Daphnia pulex: one gene and its partner. The protein of the gene in region 1 purifies or fractionates together with the protein of each later gene. This does not show direct contact. Links are inferred from orthologs where the notes say so. Each region holds a gene or a part of one and is shown in the gene's direction. Other genes may lie near its edges.

What was found.
Region 2: the proteins of NADH-ubiquinone oxidoreductase 49 kDa subunit-like (region 1) and protein l(2)37Cc-like purify together in Homo sapiens (affinity purification with mass spectrometry; 3 studies listed by BioGRID and IntAct, with this or other methods). This does not show direct contact. The link is inferred for Daphnia pulex from reciprocal best matches to the Homo sapiens genes NDUFS2 and PHB1.

What each region holds. Positions count from the first base shown.
Region 1 is NC_060021.1:394,679-398,617, forward strand, and holds NADH-ubiquinone oxidoreductase 49 kDa subunit-like, read left to right. Parts: upstream 1-1,347; 5' UTR 1,348-1,446; coding exon 1,447-1,550; intron 1,551-1,689; coding exon 1,690-1,915; intron 1,916-1,989; coding exon 1,990-2,191; intron 2,192-2,269; coding exon 2,270-2,457; intron 2,458-2,524; coding exon 2,525-2,808; intron 2,809-2,867; coding exon 2,868-3,094; intron 3,095-3,156; coding exon 3,157-3,297; intron 3,298-3,365; coding exon 3,366-3,403; 3' UTR 3,404-3,439; downstream 3,440-3,939. Other genes in the region: galactoside alpha-(1,2)-fucosyltransferase 2-like, read right to left, coding at 1-61, 132-156, 225-923. UniProt on the Homo sapiens protein: Core subunit of the mitochondrial membrane respiratory chain NADH dehydrogenase (Complex I) which catalyzes electron transfer from NADH through the respiratory chain, using ubiquinone as an electron acceptor. Essential for the catalytic activity of complex I.
Region 2 is NC_060020.1:1,678,407-1,682,057, forward strand, and holds protein l(2)37Cc-like, read left to right. Parts: upstream 1-1,416; 5' UTR 1,417-1,554; exon of another isoform or gene 1,555-1,558; intron 1,559-1,770; 5' UTR 1,771-1,799; coding exon 1,800-1,887; intron 1,888-1,981; coding exon 1,982-2,143; intron 2,144-2,199; coding exon 2,200-2,342; intron 2,343-2,410; coding exon 2,411-2,527; intron 2,528-2,590; coding exon 2,591-2,686; intron 2,687-2,745; coding exon 2,746-2,958; 3' UTR 2,959-3,151; downstream 3,152-3,651. Other genes in the region: molybdate-anion transporter-like, read right to left, coding at 23-292, 360-529, 652-890; glucose-fructose oxidoreductase domain-containing protein 2-like, read right to left, coding at 3,365-3,601.

The sequences.
Region 1 (3,939 bases):
GTGAAGTAGACTTCTCCGACTAGTTGCGCTTGGAAACGCCCTTTTAGGAACTGGCTGTAATCTACGTAATTGAAAAGAAAAATGGCACATTTATTTCCGATGTTTCATCATGAAAAATTATAAAAACTCACCTGTTCGGCGGACGTGCACTCCTACCTTGAATATTATAAAACAATTAATAGATTTGAAAAAAAAAATCTTTTCGATAAATTTAAATAACTTACAAAAACAACGTTTTGGCGATTTTCTCTGAGTCGATATAATTCTGCTTGTGCTCGTTCAACGAACTGCTTCTTAAATCGAAATTCCTTCATGATTTCATTCCGATGACGATGAAAAAGAGACACCGATGTAGGATAACCATCAATGTAGATGCCTTCTTCAGCAATTTTCGAGCGCTCACCCTTGTTCAATTTGTTGTAGACATGTAAATTCATAGAGTTCCACACGAGTGAACAATTTAGGTTGACAATTGTGGGAATTGAAGTTTCAAGGAAGTATTTGGTCAATGTGGTATAAGTTCGATGCTGCAAAATGGGGAAAAGGCCATCTCTCTTAGCTAATGCCCACAGTGTGGCATATTCTCCCATAAGATTTCCTAGGCGGCCTCCAGATTTGACTGTCAAAATACCACCTTTCCCACAAATGAAAGTTGAATTCTGGAAGTGCAATTGATGATTAAGGCTGGGATTGTTTGAAGTTAAAAGATTTTTGTGGGGTAATTTAATGACTGGCTTGACGTGGAATGATTGATTATTTGAGATTTCGTTGATTGGTGCGACAAGTTTGACATCCTTTTCTTTTTTTAGCTTCCATGGATCTTGAGTGAGAAAATTACTTGTTCGACAAGAGAGTATCAGAAAGAAAGCGAATCCAATCAGGAGTAGAGAAAACACTGTCCGTTTTATGTTGCATCTAGGCATTCTTCTTCCATTATTTTAATTGCATTAGAAAAATTGTTAATGAGTATGATATCATTTGTAAACAAATCGCGGATGCCTGAAAATACAAGGAATGTTATGATTACAACTGCATAGGGAAATTTAAAAAACTGTTTACCTTATTTTCTGAAAGAGATGACGACAAATATTAAAACAGTTGTTGAAATCATTGCAATTTCCTGTGCGTATCTTCTGTAACTCCTAGTTTTGTTTTTAGTTTTTTTACATGAAATAATTAGGGGGTGGATACCACCGGAAGACTTGACTAACAAAGTCTCGACTCGACTTTGACTGGACTGTAAACCGGATGGCTGAGAGCCAGATCAGCCAGACAAAAAAAGAAATGATTGTTCACAGCACATGCTGTCTGATGCGCGGAAAGACAAAAGTAGCTAGTTACCAATTGTACTCCTAGGTATCGCTGTTCGGTAAATGTGCTACTTCAGAGCCATCTAGCAACTAAATGTTACATTCGGGAATTTTTTGTGTATTTCTCTGAAGAAAAATGTCTGCCGTTATTGGACTTGGGTTGAAAAAGGGAACTATTTCCCTAATTAATTCTGCACCAAAGTCTCTGTTACCCCATTTTTCCTTAGGATTCTTTGCCAAGTAAGATTTGTGTTTAATTTATTTTAAATGGTCTGCTCAGCAACTTTATTTACATGAACCTAAACCCTTACATAATTTCTTGTAGGTAGTGGGTTATTCTTTCTTTCGTGTCGGTAAATGATTTTGTTTTCTTTTGCAGCCCACGGCGACATGGGGCAACATGGAATCCTGATATGGAATATTACAAACAATATGATATGCCATGTCTAATTCCGCAAACCAAAGCAAATGTATGGAAAATGCCTCCTTTAAACCACTATGAAGCTCCAGTAGAGAAATCGGTCACCAATATCAACCTTAATTTTGGTCCACAACATCCAGCTGCCCATGGTGTATTACGTTTAGTCTTGGAACTTGATGGAGAAGTAAAAACCGATTTTTTCTCTTTTTAGTGTGACTGCCTTTGTATTCACATTACCATTACTTTTTCATTTGATAGACTGTTGTCAGAGCTGATCCTCATATCGGCTTGCTGCACAGAGGTACAGAAAAGCTGATTGAGTACAAAACTTACACTCAAGCTCTTCCCTACTTTGACCGTTTGGACTATGTTTCGATGATGGGAAATGAGCAATGCTATTCACTGGCTGTTGAAAAATTGTTAAACATTGACGTCCCACTAAGAGCCAAATATATTCGAGGTGAGGAGTTATTTTTATCGCAATTCTAAATATCATATGACTAATGACATTTTTAAAAAATATTTCTCAATTATTTAGTGCTCTTTGCCGAACTTACGCGCATTCTAAATCACTTGATGCAAATCGGTACTCACGCCTTGGATATCGGTGCTTTGACGCCCTTCTTTTGGCTGTTCGAAGAGCGTGAGAAGATGATGGAATTCTACGAACGTGTATCAGGAGCTCGCATGCACGCTGCCTATGTTCGCCCAGGAGGAGTGGCTCTGGTAGAATTTTCTTTTCAAATGTCCACTAAAAACATTTCTCTTATCGCCAACGTTTTGATCTTGACAGGACCTCCCGTTGGGTCTCATGGATGACATCTACGAGTTTTCCAGCAAATTCGGAGAACGTATCGATGAAATGGAAGACGTTTTGACTGCCAACCGCATTTGGAAACAGCGAACCGTCGACATTGGTATCGTTTCCGCCGAAGACGCACTTAATTACGGTTTCAGTGGTGTCATGTTGCGCGGATCTGGAATCAAGTGGGACCTGAGGAAAACTCAACCTTACGACGCCTATGATTTGGTTGAATTTGACGTTCCCGTGGGACTAAAAGGCGACTGCTATGACAGGTAATGTCACATCACCTCGTCTTCGCAGCACAAGATAATAAATTTCATAATTTTCTTAGATACCTGTGCCGTGTTGAAGAGATGCGGGAATCTCTCCGCATCATCGAGCAATGCCTGAATAAAATGCCGGTGGGTGAGGTCCGTGTTGACGATGCCAAAATCATGGCGCCCAAGCGATCCGAAATGAAAACGTCGATGGAAGCTCTCATTCACCATTTCAAGTTGTTCACACAGGGCTATAACGTTCCTCCAGGAGCCACTTACACGGCTGTAGAGAATCCCAAAGGTATCTTGTTATTATCTATTGGCTTAAACCAAATTTCAATCTAATTCGTTGTTGATTTCCAGGTGAATTTGGTGTGTATCTCGTTTCTGACGGTTCTTCACGCCCATATCGCTGCAAAATCAAGGCGCCAGGTTTCGCCCATCTGGCCGCGTTGGAGAAAGTCGGCCGCAACCACATGCTCGCCGATATTGTCGCCATCATTGGTTCGTTTTTAATTATATGCAGATTTCGTCCTGGAATATATGACCGTCTAATTAAATTTGATTCGCAGGTACACTGGATGTGGTTTTTGGAGAAATTGATCGCTGAATGTGTTCCACGCCCTCTTTATCTCCACACCGGTGACTTGAATAACTGGAAATGGAGTTTGTATATGTAAAGCCGAGTTGAATTAGGTGATTATATAATACACATACAGTGGTTGAAATGTGTATGGGAAAATTTAATTCAACCTCTACCATGAAACTCTTGACTTTAGTTGACGTAAAATGCTATTCATGTTCAAGTTTTAAGCAGAAATGGTTCGAAAATGTATTCATTTTCCTCCTGGTTTCGTGTTGTGATGACTTAGAAACACGATCATTGGATATTAGAGAACCCCAGTCAAAGTAATTCGTGGGCGGATAGGTATATTCAGCCTTTTTATTATTTCTTCAAGGAAATAAAAGTAGATTTTCTGTTTTCTTTTAATTATTTTTCTTATTCAGAAAATCTTTGGGTTTTCCTCCTTTTTGGCGCTTTCTTTAATAGGGTCGAGGCGTAATCTCGGTAATGGTGCCTTTTAGCTTTTTCGTACACGCGAGAGTCATGTGCATTTGAGCTCCATTACTTGGTTGCATGACACC
Region 2 (3,651 bases), on another chromosome or scaffold:
ATTACAATAAAAGATAAGTTACCGTGATTTTCTGGCCAGCTGAGAGAAATTAATACAGCGCTAGCTATTAGAAAGGGGATGGCAGTCATGAACGGAGCTACAGGACCAAAATTAAGCCAATCAGCTCCAATATCGGCAACAACACCAGAAAGGATTGCTAAAATTCCGTTCCAAAATGTAGATATTGAAAATGTTGAAGAGATCCAGTCGGCGGGAAACACATTTCTTTCCGTGTGTTCACACACATACCATGCCTCGAAAGTGGAAAATAGAATGGACGTGGCAACACCACCTGTTAAAAACATATTAGAAGTTGCCGTTTTAAGTATGCCAACATATTGGCGGTAAAAAGTAATTACCGAACAAGCGACCAGCGAACAACCACCAGAAATTCGGACTCATCTTTGTGAGGCAACAAAATGTATAAATAAAGCAAAAAGCTAAACAGAGACGTCTACGACCGAACATGTCAGCCAAGGGCCCAGTAAAAGTTCCAACCGTAGAACTTGCAGCAAATCCAACAATATATCTAAAATAACACAAATACACAAAACCAAAAAGAATATTTCATATACATTGAAACACAAAACAATATGGAAATAAAATTTGAATAGATAATACATATCACAGGAAGTGAATAAAAATACTTACAGCAATGCAATCTCTTTAGGAGCATATCCATACTGACTGTAAAGCCTGTAGACATATGGACCTTGAAGCCAATCAGAGAAAAGTGCCAAGAGATATGGTGCAAAAAAAATTCTTTGGAACTTTTGGAACTCTGGGTTGAGCGAAGCTACCAGTTGTGATTTTGTTCTAGAAGCAATCCATTGGGCAACAAAACAAACAAGGACCAATGATCCCAAAATTGTGACAACAAATTCCTTCATTCTGGACTGGAATATGTGATGCCTGAATTTCGATAAGGAGGTACATGTAAAGAATAGATTTTGTATTTAAAAAATGAAACATAAAACAGAATGAAAATATTTTACCTGCAATTAAATAGTCAGTACTATTTGTACTGGATCTGCTGTACCAGTTAACACAGCTCTAGTGTGATCTGTGATGTTTGTCTATTCTTCTCAACTTCCCTAGTTATCCCTAAACAACATAAACTCTTCAATTTGCTTCAAGAAGAAATCTCCATTCAAAAGTACGTCTCTTAACAATTTTCCACCAAAGAAATGCCACGTATAACACTGCATATGTAAACCGACAAGAGTTTACAATATGCCGCGTCAGCACGTTTGAAAATTCGTGAAAACGCGTACTTGGTGGACGAGCGTCTCAGTATAGAGTGCCACAGTTTGGATTGCCACGGCTTCATGTGTATTTTTTTGTTTTTTTTTTACAAGATAACAACATCAGCTGTTGTTGAAGTGTCGAAAAATCCTGTTTCTAATATTATCTTTGTTCTCTAGATGTCGTATGTAAGTTTAATTGCTCACCACTAGGGTCGCATTCTTCTGCGATCTTCTGCTGCACGTGTGGCTGAAGTGTGTAACGTTCTTCGTTCTCGGCATTTTTGCTTTATTTTTTCAATCAAATTTGGTATGTAAGTAGAAAACATTGCGCAATTTCGCAATTTAGTTAAAATTCTAAAAATTTTTGTCAAAGTTCTATTATGCCTAACGTTTCAAGAAAAGTAGAAATTTAAAAAAATTGTGCCTATATCCTAATGCTCAATAAAGTTAAGCTGGCTGCCACACATTGTTACATCATACATGTTAAATATGTGTGTTTTTTTTTTTATTATACACTTTTCAGATTGTTACTCACATTAATTCATAAAGATCATGGCTGCTCAATTTTTTAATCGAATTAGTCAACTGGGTGTTGGAGTTGCCTTAACTGCTGGAGTTATTAATTCCGCATTGTACAATGGTGGGTTGTTTTACTGTTTTTATTAGTAGATCTTCTGTAGTTTTCTTTTTTATTATTTTTATATTTTTCACATTCATATTATTCTACATTCTAGTTGAGGGAGGCCACAGAGCTGTTATTTTTGATCGTTTCTCTGGTGTGAAAAATGAAGTAGTAGGAGAAGGCACACATTTTTTTGTTCCTTGGGTGCAGAAGCCAATCATCTATGACATTAGGTCCCGACCAAGGAATGTACCAGTTATCACTGGCAGCAAAGGTAAATGAAATTTTAAAAAATTGTACAGCTAACATCATTAAGGGTTTTTATTTTAGATCTTCAAAATGTAAACATTACTTTGCGTGTCCTGTTCAGACCTGTCCCAACTTCTCTCCCTAATATCTACAGCACCTTGGGCATTGATTATGATGAGCGTGTGCTCCCCTCTATTACAAATGAAATCCTGAAAGCTGTTGTTGTAAGATTATATATTATTTTTTTTTTTTTCATCCTAAGCATTATAAATGATTTTTAAATGTTTTCTAGGCCCAGTTTGATGCTGGAGAATTGATCACTCAGCGTGAAGTCGTATCCCAGAAAGTTAGCGAAGCTCTAACGGAAAGAGCTGGACAGTTTGGCTTAATCTTGGACGATATCTCCATTGTAATGTTATTTCAGTTATATGCTACGATCACTTAGTATAATTCGTTATTCCTTTGACAACAGACGCACTTGACTTTTGGCAAAGAATTTACCCAAGCTGTTGAGTTAAAACAAGTTGCACAACAAGAAGCTGAACGAGCTCGTTTCCTTGTAGAAAAAGTAAGTTTTACTAATTATGTTAAATTTCTGAATCATATAATCACGTATTTTTTTTTTAGGCCGAACAATTAAAGAAAGCTGCAGTCATTTCAGCAGAAGGTGACTCCCAAGCCGCTTCTCTTTTGGCCAAAGCCTTTGGTGATGCTGGTGAAGGTCTCGTCGAACTTCGACGAATTGAAGCTGGCGAAGATATTGCTTACCAATTGTCCAAATCTCGAAATGTTGTCTACCTGCCAAATGGCCAGCAGACGCTTTTGTCGCTACCGCAGTAACGAATTTAGTCCTATCAAGTTTTTGTATCGTATGGGGCGAAAAAGGTTTCGGTACGAGGTCAGTTAATAAGTTATTAGCACATTTTTCTGAATGCTATTTCATTGACTGGTCACGTTTCGAAAAAAAAACTAATCATTCGATGTTTCCGTAGACACTTGTCATCTATTCATAGAAATACAATAAATAATTGTATGTTGTTCCATTTTAAAGTCGTGTGTAAGCATAAGGAGGGAACGAGACGACACGACGAAAGAAAAAACTGTCAAAATGGTACATAAACTAAAGAGTCGTATGAAACATTTTTCTTAGCAAGGTTATTTGAAGAAATCTTGAATGATGTGAGAAGAAGAGAAAAAAAATTTGTTCTTGAAATACGTTAACAGAAAATTATTGCATTGGTTGTGTTCATACAGCGGAAATAGTGGACCTGCGAACAGCGGCACTTAACACCGGATTAGGATCTGGTTCTTCGTGGATGATAGACACTTCCGACCACTCTCGCATCTTGCTGGATCTTTTAACGGCGTCGATGACTGCCATAACATACTGTCCGTCTTCAAAAGTAGCAGCGGAAGAAACAGCGTCTTTAATCCATCCACTACGATCCTCAACGCGGGAAAACGCATCCCTAAGAGCCGACACCTGTTTAACAATCGTACATTTGATTACACGTAGATTGGTAGAATTCACTT